Linked DNA regions of Macaca fascicularis. Each later gene encodes a partner of the first gene's protein in a complex. Links are inferred from orthologs where the notes say so. Each region holds a gene or a part of one and is shown on either strand. Other genes may lie near its edges. The genes, in order: RASA1 and ARHGAP35.

Region 1 (4,358 bases):
ACGCAAATTTACAAAGAAAATGCATTGCCTGTATCTTGCCACCTCTTTTAGTGGTCTTTTCTCTTGTTCCTTTGTTTCTATCACAACCACTTGCCATCCGGAGTGTTGGCTTGATCATCCTTAGCAGAGAAAATACTGATCTCAAAGATCAATATCCAATGGTATTCAACGTGGGATTACTACTGGGAGAATTTAAAATAACAATACCGTTAATTTCAAACCATGAGAAGCTCCCTGTACATGAATGCATGTAATAGTTTGTATACATTTTAGTGTAGAAGACAAAATAACACTCTTCTCCTTAATTGTATTAAAAATGAGTTTTCAGTTTATTGCTACTTTAGAAACGATATATAATTGTAACTGGCATTCTGGGACATTCTTGACATTTGACTTGTTGAAGGTGCTTGCATTGCGGATCACACCCTGCAGTCTTTTGCACACAGAGGACAAAAGTGCATTGATTAGTGTTTTCTGTGGCACCCCCTCCTCTTCATCAGTATCCAACAGACTTATAATAGCATAGGTAAGTATATGAGACAGTTGATAAAGAAAAACCTATGCAAATACTAGTAGAAATCTTACTTCATAACCACTATTTCTACCAAAATTCCCCACCCTTCTCATATGGTGCCCTTTATTTCGTTTCGGAGTTTCAGAATCTATTTTATCTGTGTGTGTGTGAGATAGTCATGGTGATTTATAGCATGCAACGAAAAAGACAACATTTAGTACTGCCCCGATCTTCAAAGCTACCTGACTCCTGCATGGTCTCTGCGCTGCTGGCTAAGGCTGTTTCTTCCACCGGTCAGGAAGTACGGAACTAGTTTCTAGGCATTTTCCTTTCCCTTTCCCCCTTCTTCCTCTCCGCCGCCTCCCGGTCCCCCTCTCGTCTCTCCGGCTTTCACAGCGCCGAGCACCCGCGTGCTCAGGTACCCTTCCCTCTTCTCCCGCCCATCAAACAAAGCCCCGGGAGACAGGCGCGCGCCGCCGGCCACGCCAACAGGAGATGCGGCCGCGCCGCCGCACGCTAGGAACCGGAGTAGGACAGCAAGCGCGACCACGCACCGCGCGTCCCCGCCGCTTCCTTCCCTCTGGACTCTTCCTTTTCCTCCAGGCCCGGCCCCCCGCCCCCCGCCCCCCGCCCCCCGCTCCCCGCTCCGGGAACGCGCCTGCGCACAAGCTGCCCTCTCCCTCCTCCGCCCTTCCTTCCCTCCGTCCCTCCTCCCCTGCCCCGCCTTCCTTTCTCTCTCTACGGTTTCAGTCACTGAGAGCTCCAGGTAGTGAGCAGTTCAGTCGATTTCCTTGTTACCCCGCCCCCCTTTCTCTTGTCCCCACCCCTCTCATCTGCCTGGTGGAGGATGAAGCGGCTGCAGTGGCCCCAGCCTCAGCAGCGGCACCGGCGGTGGCTGCGGTGTGGGTGGCCGGAACTGGGGTGGTGAAGAAGCGGTGGTGGCTGCTGAAGGAGCGATAGCCACCTAAGCCTCTTTCCCTGTGCTTCCTTTCCTCTTTAGTGCAGCCAGGAAGTTTTCGCTTCTGTACATGTGTTTGTGTGCGTGAGTGTGGGTGTGTGCCGTGAGGTTTGGGTGGCGTTTGTGCAGGCGTTGGGTTTTTTGCCCACTTCGCTTCCCGTAACCCAAGCAGCTCCGGAGCCTGGGCTGTGGCCCTAGGAGGGGGCGCGGCGGCGGGCTCTCTCCTTTTGTTGTTGTTTCCTCCGCCTGGGGAGCTGAAGGGGAGACGCGTCTGGGTGGGGCGGCTCGGAGCCCGGGCCTGGTGGCCCCCGGGGCTCCCGGGCGGGCAGGGTAGGGCAGAGTAGAGCGGGCTTCAACATGATGGCGGCCGAGGCCGGCAGTGAGGAGGGCGGCCCGGTAACAGCCGGAGCTGGAGGAGGCGGCGCGGCAGCGGGCTCCAGTGCCTATCCCGCAGTGTGTCGGGTGAAGATACCCGCGGCCCTGCCTGTGGCAGCCGCCCCCTATCCTGGGCTGGTGGAGACTGGAGTGGCTGGAACTCTGGGTGGCGGAGCCGCTTTGGGGTCAGGGTTCCTAGGAGCCGGGTCTATGACAGGGGCATTGGGGGGAGCCGGACTGACAGGGGGAGGTACTGCTGCTGGCGTGGCCGGTGCTGCTGTCGCTGGACCTAGTGGAGACATGGCTCTCACCAAGCTGCCCACTTCGTTGCCTGCTGAGACTCTCGGGCCAGGCGGCGGTTTTCCCCCTCTGCCCCCTCCCCCTTACCTGCCCCCTTTGGGGGCGGGCCTGGGGACAGTGGACGAAGGTGACTCTCTGGATGGACCAGAATACGAGGAGGAAGAGGTGGCCATACCATTGACCGCTCCTCCAACTAACCAGTAAGTTAAGACTGCTGTTCAGGAATTTGGGCAGCTGGCTCCAGAAAAGAAGTGGAAATGGGGTAAACCATACTTTGTCTTTTTCATCTGTGATTTGTTTAGGAAAAGTTTTTGAAGTTTCAGGTTTCTTGCGTAGGAATTTAATTTGATCACTTATCTTCCTTACAGGCATACTACCTGGCGTCTTCCTACATTTATTGCTCTTCTGGGAAGGTGTAAAGTTTTTAAGATGGAAAGTATGAGAAAATGTGTATCTGATGAGAACCGGATATGGTTCTGTCCCTTCCAAGTTGAAGTGGTGTCCCAGGATTTAGTCAAACTGCGGCTACCAAGGCAGTCATAGTGTATATTAACCTGTTTGTGTTACTTGATAAAGCTAGATGATTAGTGAGAAATTTTGAATACAAATATTTAAACGAGTATTGTATTAGTAATTTGAAAAATGTATTGGTTAGAATGTATTTATTTCAGTGCACATCCCAGCTTCTGATTAGAGAAAGCATAGTGATGTTTAGAAGAGTCTGTGGGTCACTTAATGAGAACTTGGGTCAGAGAGAAAGGAAAGGAATACTGTGAATTATAGGTGTGATTAAGCGCCTTTGTTTCAACAATGTATCTTCTTCCCTAGGCTTCCCACTTAGCTTTTATAGTCGAGACATTGGAAGTACAACAGTGAGACAAAACAAAATTAACAGAGCTTCCCTTAAACATTTTTTGTTGGTGGCCAGTATAGTATTCTATTTGAAAATTAAGTAGAATATACAGGACAATGACTTTTTTTTTAATGTAAGTTAATACCTCCTCACTTGTCTTAATTGAACTTAGGTGTTTATTCATAAAGGTGGACCTTGATGAAAATGTTGCGATGGGAAGTGGTATTAGGCAAAACTTGTTATAGGTTTCTCGTATAACTCTTAATTGACCCTTAGAATTTTAACAACCTTGGTGAATATCAGGAAAGAAAGATTTGGTTCATATGTTGACAGTCATTCTGGACAATTCAGAGGTTTTTTTTTTTTTCCTCTCTCCATTGCCCCCAAGAGATGGAGTCTAGCTCTGTTGCCCAGGCTGCAGTGTAGTGGCATGGTCTTGGCTCACTGCAACCTCTGCCTCCCGGGTTCAAGAGATTCTCCTGCCTCAGCCTCGCTAGTAGCTGGGATTACAGGTGCATGCCACCATGCCTGGCTAATTTTTGTATTTTTCATAGAGACGAAGTTTCGCCATATGGCCAAACTGGTATCTTAACTCCTGACCTCAGGTGGTCGGCTTGGCCTCAGCCTCCCGAACTGCCGGGATTACAGGTGTGAGCCACTGTGCCCGGCCTTTTTTTTTTTGGATAAGCTTCTTTGGAGCATTTAGAAAGGACTGAAACTAGGAAAAGATTCTGTTACCCTCATCTATTTTTGACTTAAGGCTACATCTTTTGATACTTAAAGTGGAAAAGTAAAGTTAGTCATATTTATGCCAGCCATGTTATAGGGATGTAGTGTTCCACCTTTTATATTCCTCAATAAAGGGTTCAAGTCTTGCGTCAGAGTTTTGTTCAAATTTTACACGACAATTTATTTCATGTCATTGTAATGCAGAGTCCCTGGGAGTGTTCAGGGAGTGTTAAAAATTCCAATTTTGCCGGTCGCGGTGGCTCACGCCTGTAATCCCAGCACTTCGGGAGGCCTAGGCAGGTGGATCACCCGAAGTCGGGAGTTTGAGACCAGCCTGACCAAGATGGAGAAACCTTCTCTCTACTAAAAATACAAAATTAGTCTGGTGTGGTGGCAGGTGCCTGTAATCCCAGCTTCTCAGGAGACTGAGGCAGGAGAATCGCTTGAACCCTGGAGGCGGAGGTTGCAGTGAGCCGAGACCACGCCATTGCACTCCAGCCTGGGCAATAAGAGTGTAACTCTGTCTCAAACAAACAAAACACACACACACACAGTATTACACCACTGCTTTTGAAAGAAAAAGTTCAATTTTTATTAAATGCTAACAGCATGCTTGGTACAGTGGTTAT
Region 2 (4,412 bases), on another chromosome or scaffold:
TACATTAAAAAAAAAAAAAAAAAAGGAAAATCCTTTAATATAAAAAGCTTTATTAATGGAATAAACAAGCCCATGTAATTTTATCAACGCTTACAGAGCGCTTACTATATGCAAGGCCTGATTTCCAGAGCTTTACAAAATATAATCTATTTAATTTTCACAGCAGCCCTACGAGAGAGGTATGATTATTATCCCATTTTATAGATGAAGAGACTTATGGCAGAAATGCCAAATGTAATAGGAAACAGCCTTTCTTCATGCATTCCACAAATATTGGCTTGGCGCCCGGGAAGCTCATCTTCCACGATCTGTACTTCCGGAGGAGTCCCAGAGGAACACCTCCTCAGTTCAGAGGAGTCAAGGGTTACAGCGGTGCCCTCTCCCATCACTACTCTTTTCCTTTCAGGCGCCCTAATTGACATTTGATTTGTAGTCATTTGCACAATGCTAAGTGACAGGCTTGGGCTGCACACAGTACCAGGCCGTCTTCCCTCTCCTGGGGATCAGGCGATCACAGAACCAAAAACAAGTTGCAAGGACGCGCGCGTTGGCTGCGGATTTTCTTCACAGCCAGGAGAAAGAGCACGCGCTCTCCATCCCCGCCTCTTCTTCCGGGACGACGAATTGCGGGGCTCGGATTGGGCTGAGGCGGGCCACGCCTCCTCATATCCTCCAATCAACTCCCTCTCTGGTGGGCTCCCTCCTTCTCAGCCCCGCCCCACCGCCCCACGTTACGTCGCTCCTTCTGGCCTCCTCCGTTATCCCGGGGGCTGCGGCTCGCGCGGCAAACCCACCTCCCGTTGCTTCCCATTGGCTGCTCAGGTCCCGCGCGAGCGGGATCGCGCCCTTCGCCCCCCACCCCCAAAACCGGGCCATGCCTCTCTCCTTCGGCTTTCTCCAGAAGCCAGCGCGAGGTGGCAGATCGGCTGCTTGAGGCGCGCGCGGAGACGCGCGCTCCTCCTGCGGGCCACTCCCTCTGCCCTGCGCCAACAGCTGCGCTGGCTGGCAGCCCCCCGCGCACGCGCGCTCCCCCACCCCGCTCCCTCTGCTCGTTTGCAGCTCGCCTAGAGCTCAGTCACGACGGCGGCCGCCGCAGTAGCTGCATTTTTGGGGGTGCACGCGCACTGCACCGTCCGCGGCGGTTCCTAACCTCAGGCAGCGGCGGTGGCAGTGAGACCCTCGGGTGCGCACGCGCTCTGACCTCTCCCCACTGCCTCGCTGGTCGTCCCTTCGCGGCGCGCGCCCAGGGGCCGTTATCCCCCTGCAACGGTCCACGCGCCGCGCACGCGCAGTAGCGAGGGGGCGCGCGCGCGGGAGCGGCCGTCGCAGGAAGGAGGTGCAGCCGCTGCCGCCATTGCGAGTGAGGGAGGGAGGGAGGGAGGGAGTGAGCGAGGCTGGTCCGCCCTCCCCCTGGTTCCCGCCCCTCCCCCCTTCCCCTCCCCGCCCCCCGCCCCGAGGGAGAGCCGCGGCGCGGCGGCAGGAGGAGGTGGAGGAGGCGGAGGAGGGAACCCGCGAGGGAGGGTCCGCCCGGCCCCCCGCCGCCGGAGCCGCCGCCGCCGCCGCCGCCTCAGCAGCCGCTGGACTAGGAGCAGGGGAACATGGCGCCGGGGCCCCCGTCGTTGCTGCCGGGATCCTGGAGGCCGGGGCCGCGCTGAGGGCGCCCAGCTGGTGAGTGCGCGAGCTCACGGGCCCCGGGCGGCGAGGCCGGGCGCCGCCCCGCTGAGGGGTCCAGGGGGAGGCGGGGACGGCGGGGCCCGGAGCCCGCGAACAATGGAGGAGCTGGAGGGGGAGGGGAGGAGCGGCCCCCCCAGCTCCCCGGGCCCCGCCGTCCCCGTCGCTTCGCGCGTCGGCCCGGCCCGTGGGGCCTTTCTGCCCTTTGGACCTACCCCTGCCCGCCGCAGCCCTGCTGTCCTCGCTGCCGCCCCCACCCCCGATCAGTTGGGATCTCGGTGTCTGCCTCAGAGCCTCTCCGACTTCAGCCATCCGGCTCCCAATTCTGCGACCCCCTTCCCTCTTCCACCCCTCCATAATGCCCTTCGCTCCTCCCGGGCTCTGCAGTGCTCTTGGGACCCACCTTTTTCTCATTGACCATTCTGCATCCCTTAATTGTGGCTCCCACTTTTGAGATCCGTGACCCTTCTGCTTCTTCTCGATTCTGCTCTCACCACCCTTCAGATCTGTCCTCGGCCCCTTCTTTGACCTACCTGCTGTGCTATTATTCTTGTCTCAGAATATGTTGCACCCTGGGAGCTGTCCCTTTAGGACCTGCGGTTCCAACCCCTTGGAGATCCATCTGAGACCCCTGTTCAACCAGGCACTGCTGCCCCAGGTCTTCCCCTTGGACTTAATCCGGTTCCCTCGTGGGCCCTACTATCTGCATTTCTGTCTGCCCTCTCACAGAGCCTGCTGCACCCCGGGATGCCCCTCGGCTGGCCTTCTGACCCTTCCGTGCCCCAGTTCATTCCCCTGATCCCCTCGGACTTGGCTGCACCGTGCTTGCCTCTTCCCCTTCTCAGCTCTTGTTACCGTTTGCCATTCAGACCCTTTCCTCTCTTCCATACCTTTCTGCCTCTTAGCTCTGCCCATTGCCCGACCTCAGATCTTGCTGCGCTCCCCTCACCTGCTTGCTTCTGACTGCCTTCCCGGGAAGCAGCCTCCTCCCGCTTCTCTGACTCTGCAGGTCTCCCATTTCTGCTGTTCACTCAACTGATCTCTCCCTAACTCAGACTGCCTTCAGTTTCAGCCCCAGTGTTCTCTTGGAGGTTTCCTGTTTCCCCCACCTCCTTTTTGGCACTTCTCTGAGCTACTGCATGCATTTGCTACTCCTTTCTTTGGCCTGTATCTCCTTCAGTTCTCTGCCTAAAAACTGCTTCCTGTCCCCTTTGCTCCAACTCCTCTCCTCCCCGTTTTAGCCCTTAGACATGCCCTTTAACGTCACTATACCTCTGATACCTCCCGGGCTGGTCACCCATCCCCTTCCCGTTGTGCATCTCACAGACCTGCCCCTAGATCCATTTTGTACCTGCACTTTCTCCTCGTTTTTTTCAATTCTGCCCCATCCTCTATTTAGTGTTTCCCTCCCCAGCTCGGCTGTTTCGGAGCTGTCCACTTGCCCGCATGTTTTTAGACCGGTTTTTAACTTCTGTATTGCCGTCCGCGCTTGGAGCGGTCCTTTAACACTGGGGTTCTTGTCACTGTGTCCCCTCTCTGTTCCCTCCCGAGTCTTAAGTTTTCCACATGACATTCTCTTCCCCCCACCATTTTGATTCAGCCTTCACCCTTCACTCTGCTTTATTTGCCCCCCCGTCCACTGCCCTGCCTCTTGTCTTCTTTTGGAGTTCTCACTCCCTCCAATTGTGACATTAAGATGTCTTCTTAATCATTCTTTCCTATGTATCCCCCCCACCTTCCTCTTGGAGCTGCCTCAGTGCTGTGATAGATTCTCACTCCCCTTACTCACCTTTGATATCCCTCTCCCAATTCTGTTCGTCTTGGACTTGTTTCCTTCCTCACCTTTTTTTTTTTCCCTTTCCCCTTGTATCTTGGCAGGCTCCTCTTCCCATTTAGTTCCTATCAGACCTGCTCATCGCAGCTCACCACCCGTGGCCCACCCATTCCCCATTGAGCACTTCCCCTTTCAGGCATGTCTTTCTCTGTTTTCCATCCCTCTGCTGCAGAGGCAAAGGGGCTGGATTGGGCCTTAGGCTCTCAGGCTCTGAGACTGCAGATTCTCTCTCTGCACCCTAACCCTGAGGGTTCTATCCCCAGGGATCCTGAGAGATCTGGGTAAATAGGTGGGAGTTGGTTGATTGTTACTGCTCTGTGGAGTCTGGGAGTGTCTCCCCCATTTCTCCCACTTCCACTAGGTTAGTAGTGTGGAGGGAGGTAGATCTCTTTCCGTTGCCCCATTTTCTTTTCTCTGCTGTTTGCTCTCCCCCTTCCGATTTCTGGGCTCTGCAGCTTTGTGTCCTTTGGAAAAGGGGATTGCAGCTGCTCACAGATCTTTATTCTCTTTCTCACTTTCCCTCTTTCCTTCTCTGAGCGGTTGCATACAGTACCCTGTCTCCTATTCCACCTCTAAGCCAGCACCCCTAGGAGTGTGCTTTTTTTTCCCCCAGCTGACAAGTCATTTTGTTTTACCTCTAGCTGGGGAAATGCCAGTTCTCAGATTCTCCCGATCCCACTGGGGGTTATGGCCACACTTGGACCTAGGGAAGCTACAGTCTTGCCTTCCCTAATGGCCTCTGGTTTGCAGTGTGACCTTGGGGGAGGGGATGGGGAAGGTGGGCTTATTATTTCTTTTTCACCTCTGCTCCAGGGAAGGCTCCAGCTTCCTGGTCTTCAAAATGGTGAGGGCTTGGGTTTGGAAAGCACTTTGCGGTTGTTTGTTGAAAGAGAGAGTGCCAAGTGTC

What was found.
Region 2: the proteins of RASA1 (region 1) and ARHGAP35 are in contact, whole or in part, in a crystal structure (PDB 8DGQ), measured with the Homo sapiens proteins. The link is inferred for Macaca fascicularis from reciprocal best matches to the Homo sapiens genes RASA1 and ARHGAP35. Residues at the interface, in NP_002881.1 of Homo sapiens: Arg188, Arg207, Ser209, Arg211, Val217, Asn228, His229, Phe230, Arg231, Ile241, Gly242, Tyr256, Leu262, Leu263, Lys264, Lys358, Ser379, Asp380, Asn381, Ser387, Gln397, Arg398, Phe399, Lys400, Met411, Gly412, Gly413, Arg414, His425, Tyr426; in NP_004482.4 of Homo sapiens: Ser1085, Asp1086, Tyr1087, Ala1088, Glu1089, Pro1090, Met1091, Asp1092, Ala1093, Val1094, Val1095, Arg1098, Glu1100, Asn1103, Ile1104, Tyr1105, Ser1106, Val1107, Pro1108, His1109.

Annotation. Positions count from the first base shown.
Region 1 is NC_088380.1:91,254,881-91,259,238, forward strand, and holds the start of RASA1 (ras GTPase-activating protein 1), read left to right. Parts: upstream 1-1,262; 5' UTR 1,263-1,829; coding exon 1,830-2,347; intron 2,348-4,358. UniProt on the Homo sapiens protein: Inhibitory regulator of the Ras-cyclic AMP pathway. Stimulates the GTPase of normal but not oncogenic Ras p21; this stimulation may be further increased in the presence of NCK1.
Region 2 is NC_088393.1:54,850,522-54,854,933, forward strand, and holds the start of ARHGAP35 (rho GTPase-activating protein 35), read left to right. Parts: upstream 1-1,449; 5' UTR 1,450-1,668; intron 1,669-4,412.